2 linked regions of the Sus scrofa genome follow. The protein of the gene in region 1 interacts with the protein of each later gene in a biochemical or structural test. Links are inferred from orthologs where the notes say so. Each region holds a gene or a part of one and is shown on either strand. Other genes may lie near its edges. The genes, in order: CABIN1 and MEF2D.

The links.
Region 2: the proteins of CABIN1 (region 1) and MEF2D form a complex in vitro, tested with the Homo sapiens proteins (2 studies listed by BioGRID). The link is inferred for Sus scrofa from reciprocal best matches to the Homo sapiens genes CABIN1 and MEF2D.

What each region holds. Positions count from the first base shown.
Region 1 is NC_010456.5:49,756,494-49,760,298, reverse strand, and holds part of CABIN1 (calcineurin-binding protein cabin-1), read left to right. Parts: intron 1-554; coding exon 555-707; intron 708-1,814; coding exon 1,815-2,009; intron 2,010-3,805. UniProt on the Homo sapiens protein: May be required for replication-independent chromatin assembly. May serve as a negative regulator of T-cell receptor (TCR) signaling via inhibition of calcineurin. Inhibition of activated calcineurin is dependent on both PKC and calcium signals.
Region 2 is NC_010446.5:93,608,964-93,612,768, reverse strand, and holds part of MEF2D (myocyte-specific enhancer factor 2D), read right to left. Parts: intron 1,035-3,805; coding exon 806-1,034; intron 329-805; coding exon 22-328; intron 1-21. UniProt on the Homo sapiens protein: Transcriptional activator which binds specifically to the MEF2 element, 5'-YTA[AT](4)TAR-3', found in numerous muscle-specific, growth factor- and stress-induced genes.

The sequences.
Region 1 (3,805 bases):
TCTGGGAGGGGCTCACATGCCCCCAGAGACCCACACGAGGTTGCCTCACAGCTTTGACCCTTGACTTATGTTTTCCTGAGAGAGCCTGAGTGCCCACCCGGGGAAGGGGGCGCACAGAGCTTTCTGGATGGGAGTGGGCACCTGTCCATGATTGCAGTGTGTCTGGAGGGCTAGGGTGGGCCGGCCATCCCTGCCCCTCACACACTTGGCACCTGGTGCCTTGCAGTGGAGTGAACGCACAGGCAAAAATCGGTTCTGGAACTGGAACCAGCTGGGGTCTAGTCCTGGCTCTGCCACCTTTGCTGGATTCCTCAACCAGATTGTCGCCCTCCCTCAGATGTCCTGGTGTCCCCACTTCCACCACGAGAGTGACAGCTCTCCCCTAGAGCTGCAGTTGGTTTCCATCATCAGCATATGCTTGTTGTGCCCCAGCTCTGTGCCAGCCCCTCTGTGGGGGGGAGCAGTCGGGCCCACATGCCCTCGAGGCGTCCAGGGTGGGGGGGTTAGGAAGGCAGGTGCCCAGTACCATGCAGCAATTACCCTACTTGGCCTAGGGGGACATGGAGCAGGCTCTGGAGAACTACGACATTTGCACAGAGATGCTGCAACGCTCTTCGGCCATCTGCACACAACCAGGGGCCCAGCAGAGGGACATCGTCATCCGCCTGCCCAACCTCCACAACGACTCGGTCGTTTCCCTGGAGGAGGTGAGGGGGGTTAAAGGTGTTTTCTTGGTCAGAGGTCTGAGCTATCCATGAGGACTGGGAGAGCAGCCCACGAGCTGAGCAGGGTGGCCCAGGGCCCAGGGCAGCTCTGGGCCTCTGGGCACCTCGGACTTGCAGGTAGGCCCAGCTGGGGAGTGCATCCGGGGGCAGGTGGTGGGAGCAGAGTGAAGGTGTCTGTGGCAGGATGGAGAAGGGGTGTCATTCAGCTCCCTGGCCTGCGTGTGGCAGCAGCCCCAGTGGATGACAAGGAAAGCCCCAAAGAGGCAGCCAGTGCTGATCCAGCCCGGGTGCTGGCTCAGCGCTGTGTGGTTCTAATCCTGTTCTCACTGTGCAGCCTAAGACCCTGCGCCCACGTTTCCATGTCTGTGACATATCCACATGGTCTGAACATGGCCTTCAGATGCCTACAGAGGTGTTTTGGGGCAGGTCTGATTGCAGTACCCCTACTGCCTTTTCAGTGGGCCTTCTGTGAGGATGGGGTTCTCTGGGTCAGCCTCGGGCCTAGGGCTTGCTGGCTCTCTGGCCACCTGACACTCTGTATGTCCACGAGTCTAGTTTGCTGAACTGTGACCATGAGGCCATTCAGCTTCTTGGCAGACACTTTCTGGAACTTCTCTGCTTCTGGGGTAGTTTTGGATTTTGTGTGTTTGTTCTTCAAAGATGTAAGTGTCTTGACCTTAATAGAAATACTCTTTTATTTTTCTTTCTTTTCTTTTTTTTTCCCCCCTCAGGGCCACACCTATGGCATATGAAAGTTCCCAGGCCAGGGGTCGAATCGGAGCTATAACCACCAACCTACACCACAGCCATAGCAACACGGGATCTGAGCTGCCCTGTGACCTATACCTCAGTTCACAGCAGCACCAGATCCTTTAAGCCACTGAATGAGGCCAGGGATCGAACCCGCATCCTTATGGATGATAATCGGGTTCATTTCTGCTGAGCCACAATAGGAACTCCATAGAAATACTCTTTATGAAGCATCACTGTAAGCGTGCACCTCCCTCGGGTGTGCTAAACATAGGACACTGGCCGCACCCAGGGAGCCCATGCGGGGCTTGTCAGGCAGTGATTCTGGGCATTTTCCAGATTGACAAGAACCTGAGGTCGCTGGAACGGTGCCAGTCCCTGGAGGAGACTCAGCGACTGTACGAGGCTGGTGACCACAAGGCCGTGGTGCGCCTGCTCCGTCCCACCTTGTGCCCCAGTGGGTTCGACCGGGCCAAGCACCTGGAGTTCATGACATCCGTGCCAGAGAGGCCGGCCCAGCTGTTGCTGCTGCAGGTGGGTGTGGCCTGGGACCCCTTGCGCTCAGCCTCCTGCTTGGGGCGGTTTCTAAGGAGAAGTGGAGGAAATGCACCACCTCAGCACCAGAAAGACAGGTCAGAAGGCTCAGGGGAGTTGGAACCCAGGCTTGCAGGACTTGAGGTGAGCCTGCGCCTGCTCTGAATGCCTGTGCGGGAGACAGGGCTCTAGCTATCCGTCTTCCCTTTTGTTCACCTGCCTGGCTTTCATTCTGATCTATATGAGCTATCAGGTACATAGAAAAGTGGATGAGGTGTCTGTACGCTGCGAAGGGTCAAGGTAAGGTAAAGAGCCACGTAGAGTCACAGAGTTGGTGGAGAAGGATAGGAGTGTTGCGTGAGGCCCTCCTGCCCTCTCGGCTCCCTGCAAGCCTCCTATCCTTAGCATTAAACCCCGCTGAGAGCTTGCTGGGGTCTGGACGGTTACTTAGCCTCTCCCCTCTGGAACGGGAATGACCATGGTACTTGCCTCCGAGGCCTGTTGTGGGGATTTGTGAGTCAGTGTGTGTTGGCATCCAATCTGGTGGGTACAAGCCCTGGACAGGCTGGTGATCTACCCGCTACCGTCTTCAGCACTCGTGGAGTCAGATGTGGAGACAGACACAGATGATGATCAACAGGATGTGCTTAGTTGCAGTAGAGGTGCTGCTTTCTCCCTGTCCTTTATGTTTATTATTTTATTGGGTCCTTTCCCTTTGGTTTGGGAAGAGCCCCGTCTTCCCCAGGCTTTTTGCTTAGATCTTGTGAGACATTTTAATAACTCTTGAGCTGGGAAGTGGCTAAGAGGTGTGACTGGGAACAAGCAGAGGCATCTTCTCCCTGGTGAGGGGAGGGATGGGGTGAGGAGGAGACAGGAGAAAGGGCCAGCCCACGCTGAGCAGGGGCAAGACGTGACAGCCTCAGTGCCTGTGGCTGTGTGGGAGGGACACCTGGCATGTCAGGAAGACCAGCCCTCGCCTCTGCAAGCCAGCCCTGTGGCCCAGGTCATCTCGCTCTGTGGTCTGGAACCCCGGGCGTGGTGGGTGCCCCACTGTGGGAACGGGCTGCTGCCTGCAGAGGTGCTGGGCCAGGCCCAGGGCTGTGGAAGCTGCTGCTTTCTGCAAAAGTGATTCTTGGTTTTTGCTCAGTTTCCTCATGGGGGTGTGTTTTCTTATTGACTTGGTATGCTTTTTATATACTAGTCTTTTTCTCATCAAATGTTTTTTCCCAGTTTGTTGTTTGCTTTTAAATTGCAACTTGTGTTTTTTTGAATCTTTATGTCAGCAGACCTCTTGATGTTTTCAAACGTTGGTGGTTTTGTTCATTATGCTTAGAAAGCCTTTCCAAGACTAGAAGAGTGTGCTACCCTCCTGGAGCACAGTGACAGACTGGAGGTCCCATAGTGCCCTGGAGCTGGCCCTGGCGGGAGAGAGGTCGGCAGGGGGCGTGTCGATCGACAGGCAGAGCAGTGTTAGGTGTTGGGTTCCTGTTGGCATTTAAAGCTTCATGAGGCTTTTGTAGGGCTGGGGTCTGACTTGGACCCCTCTGCTCCTGCCCTGCCCAGACACGCAGACTCACTTTCCCCATGTGGACAAGCCACCTGCTGTGTTCTTCAATGGTTCAGTTTCCTTATGGTTGCATTGATTCTTGGGCCTAATACTTTGGGTTGCTGGTTTGAGCAGGATGTTTTTGCTGGTCATTATGTTTGGTAACTGTACACTTCTAGTTTACAGAACCCCTGTTGATTTTGGCATGTTTATTTTAAATCTAGCCACTTCACTGCATTCCTCTTATTTC
Region 2 (3,805 bases), on another chromosome or scaffold:
GGAGGGGTGATGCTACAGTACCCAGGTATCGAGCCGCATCCTCTTCACAGCTGAGCCCTCAGCCTCAGGCTCTGGGGCTGGGCGCAGCAGGCCCAGTGTGGGCCCGAAGTCCCCCCGTCCATCATCCCGGTCCCCCGTCTCATAGGAGCCCCCCGCCGGGCTGCTGAGACCGTCGCCAGGCTCAGGGCGGGTAGCCGGAAACACAGCTGGAGGGGGAGGCGCAGGGCTGCGCTCACGGCTGGGGGACACTGGTTCTGACTTGATGCTGATGTGGGGGTGGGTGGTGACCGTGAGGGCAGCACCCACATGGGGCAGGGGGCTGCCCGGGCTGGAGAAAGGTGATGGGCACGGGGCACAGGGGACAGGAGAGCAGGGGAGTGACAGAAAAAGTGAAGAGGAGGTCACGAGACAGTGAGAGAGGACAGAGAAGGAGACGAAGGGGGGTAGGGGAGGGGAGCGACAAGGGGACAGACAGGGGGACCAGAAGAGGGGGAGGGCCGAGTGAGGGGGAAGAAGGAAAGAAGTCACATTAGTTGTCTTTCCATCCTGTGTCACCTTCTGCAGTCCAGGGGCCCCCGGCCCACCCCCACCCCAGGGCTGATGGGGGCAGGGGGCGGGGGCGAAGACACAGGGCAGGTCTCCCAGGCCTGGACAGGGGCCTCCAGGGCTGCCACTTAGTGGCTTCCGTGCTGTCCACTGATGACAGACAACCTCAAAGGGACCCCCAGCTCTCAAGAAGGCCCTCCTCTTCCCGCCCCTCAACTCTCTTTCCCCCACACTCTTGGGGCGGCCCCCAAGGACTCACATGAGGCTGCTGAGAGACACGGGGACCAGGTGGGGCTGCTGCTGAGGTGGCTGTTGCGGCTGCTGGGGCGGCTGGGGCTGCGGCTGCGGCTGGGGCTGTGGAGGCTGCGGCTGTGGTGGCTGTTGGGGCTGTTGCGGCTGTTGCCAGGCGGTGACGTTGCCTAGAGACAGCCCCCCAGGCGAACTGAAGGTTGGTAAGGAGGAGAGCTCCGCACTGGTCAACTGGTAATCTGCACGGGGCGGACGGGAAGGGAAGGCAGTGAGGATGAGCTTCCTGCCGTGCCCCACAAGGACTGTCAAGATGGGGCAGTTGCTAATGACACGTGAATAATTACATAAGCCCGTACAATTTGGAGCTGTAGCTGCCAGCCTAGGCCACAGCCACAGCAATGTCAGATTTGAGCTGAGCCGCATCTGCGACCTACACCACAGCTCACGGTAACACCAGATCCTCAACCCACTGAACAAGGCCAGGGATCGAACCTGTGTCCTCATGGATGCCAGTCGGGTTCGCTAACCGCTGAGCCACGACGGGAACTCCCCAAGAAACACAAATCTTAGTAACTATGAGGAGGTGGCTTTTAAAAAATTTTTTTTTGTCTTTCTATCTTTTCAGGGCTGCACCCGCGGCACATGGAGGTTCCCAGACTAGGGGTCCAATCGGAGCTGTAGCCGCCGGCCTAGGCCACAGCCACAGCCACGCAGGATCTGAGCCACGTCTGTGACCTACACCACAGCTCACGGCAACACCGGATCCTTAACCCACTGGGTGAGACCAGGGATCAAACCCACAACCTCATGGTTCCTAGTCAGATTCGTTTCAGCTGCACCATGACAGGAACTCTAAGGAGCTGGCTTTTTAACAGGATGTAAAGAGAAGTAGTTTTTTACAATAGTTTTTGGCTTCTTTTTAACCATCTGTAGGTATCACTTTTGGAATGTCAATTTAAAAACAAAGAAGGGGAAGAAAGGTAGGTAGAGAAAATCGAATCTATGTCTAAGTGTCCCCTCTTCACCTGCCAAGTCTTCAAGCATCTTTCTGAGCTAGAGGGGAGTCGCAGCAAGTGCTAGGTTGAATGACGCACCCCGAGCCCATTCCTCCATCATCCCACCTTCCGCAAAGTCCCTCAGCCTCCTGAAGACTGTCAACACATAAAACAGGGAACAGCAAGGGTTCCAGCTGCTCTGCACACCCCGTCCCCCACATACAGAGGACGACTGTCTGCCTCCCAGAAGGGCCCATGAGAGCAGAGGGACACGGGCTTGCGGCACAACTGGCCAAGGTTCTGGCAGGTTTCCCCATGAGGTGGCGCTTGCTGTTTCTTTCCTACGATTCCTGTCTTAATGAAGAAACTGTGATGTTTGCACGGTCACAGAACAAACAGAACCGTGAGACGGTTCCCAATTTACACAGCTCCCTTATGTTTCACACCTCGGCCTGCGTGGGACAGTTTAGAAGATGTCGTCCCTGAGGAACACAGGCCAGTCGCACTGCCATGTGACGCGGAGGCACACGTGCCAGTCGTCCTGGTGCCACACCCCCGTGCTCAGCCCCAAGGGGCCGTGCGCTCCAGCCCTCTGTCTTTACCAGGGAAGGGAGGCTCATGCGTGCGACAGAACAGTAAGGTGAAGGGCATGAGCCATGGGGTCAAACTTCCTGGCCACCTCCACTTAGAGGCCAAGGGACCTGGGGCAAGCTACTGCCTCTGTCTATACCCCGGAGGCGATAATCCGGCCGGCACACAAAGCTGTGGTGAGGGCTGAGTGAGTTAAGACATGAAGTGTGTAGAGCCCTGTCTGGTACGTAGGAAACATTCAAAAGATTCAGCTGCTGTTGTTATTAAATGACAAATAAGGTCACCGCAGCCTCAAGTTTGAGGAGCTCTCCTCAGGTCACAAAGCCAATGGCAGAGCTAAAACAAGACCCCCAGGCCTCTTTCTTACCTTTAAATCTCACTCTATAGATGGTCCATGCTTGCCTCTGGTCTCATAACAACAAAGCCAGGGGCTTGGAGATGCCTGTATTTACAAGACTACCTATTTACAACACTCATTTTACAACCAAGGAAGCCAATCCAGAATAGTGCAGTGCCTTGCCTGATGTCCCTCAGCCCGTGAATGGTAAGGACTTGACCCCTAGTCCTGTACCTCCCCGCCACACTCCAGCCTGCCTACCTGGAGATGTGGCTCTCCAGCAGGCCCCTTAGTCTGCTCCTAAAATGACCACCGGCAGACCTCTGCAGCCAGGATAAACAAGAGGCCGGGCCTGTCCCTTACCCATGGCATCGCCATAGGCAGATCACTCCCACCTAGCTGGCCCCTGGGCTGAGGCCAAGGACTGTAAACAATGAACGACTAAACAGCGATGCGTCTGTTGGGTTTTGTTTATATATATAGGGTCACCTGAAAACACCTGCTCTCTAAACTGAGGTCTGCTTAACGACTCCTGCAGCAAGAGGAACTGGAGCCCCTGGTTTCTAAGAGGATCTGAGAAAGCCCAAACACTTCCCAGCAGGGCTCCAAGGGCAGGTCAGAATCTGCCATCACAATAGATCGACAAATAGAGTCTAAACTGTGGCCTTGCTGAGCACCTGTCCCAGGGTCACTGGCACCCACTAACCTCCCTCCTGCTTCACAAACACCGGTGGGGGACCTGAGAAGACGGCAGAAGACCACTGCCATGGAATTCTCAAATCACCAGCAGCTCCTGAAAAGCGGGCTGCCCTTCACCAACTGCCCACTGCCCCCCACCCCGGCGCACATGTGCGTGCCCTCGGGGAGCCAGTTTTTCTAGTCAGGGCCCAGAGCCCCAGCTGGCAGGGCTGGCAGCGCCTCAGAGACCTCCTGTCCACCCATAATTCTCACAGATGAGAACTTTTCCTGGCCTCGCGTGCACGGCCACCTGAAGCCGTCCTCTTGGAAGCTGCCCGAGGAGTGTGCGCATGCGGGGAGCACACCCGAGGGACCAGAGACTTTACAGACACCCGCACACAGGCCAGGG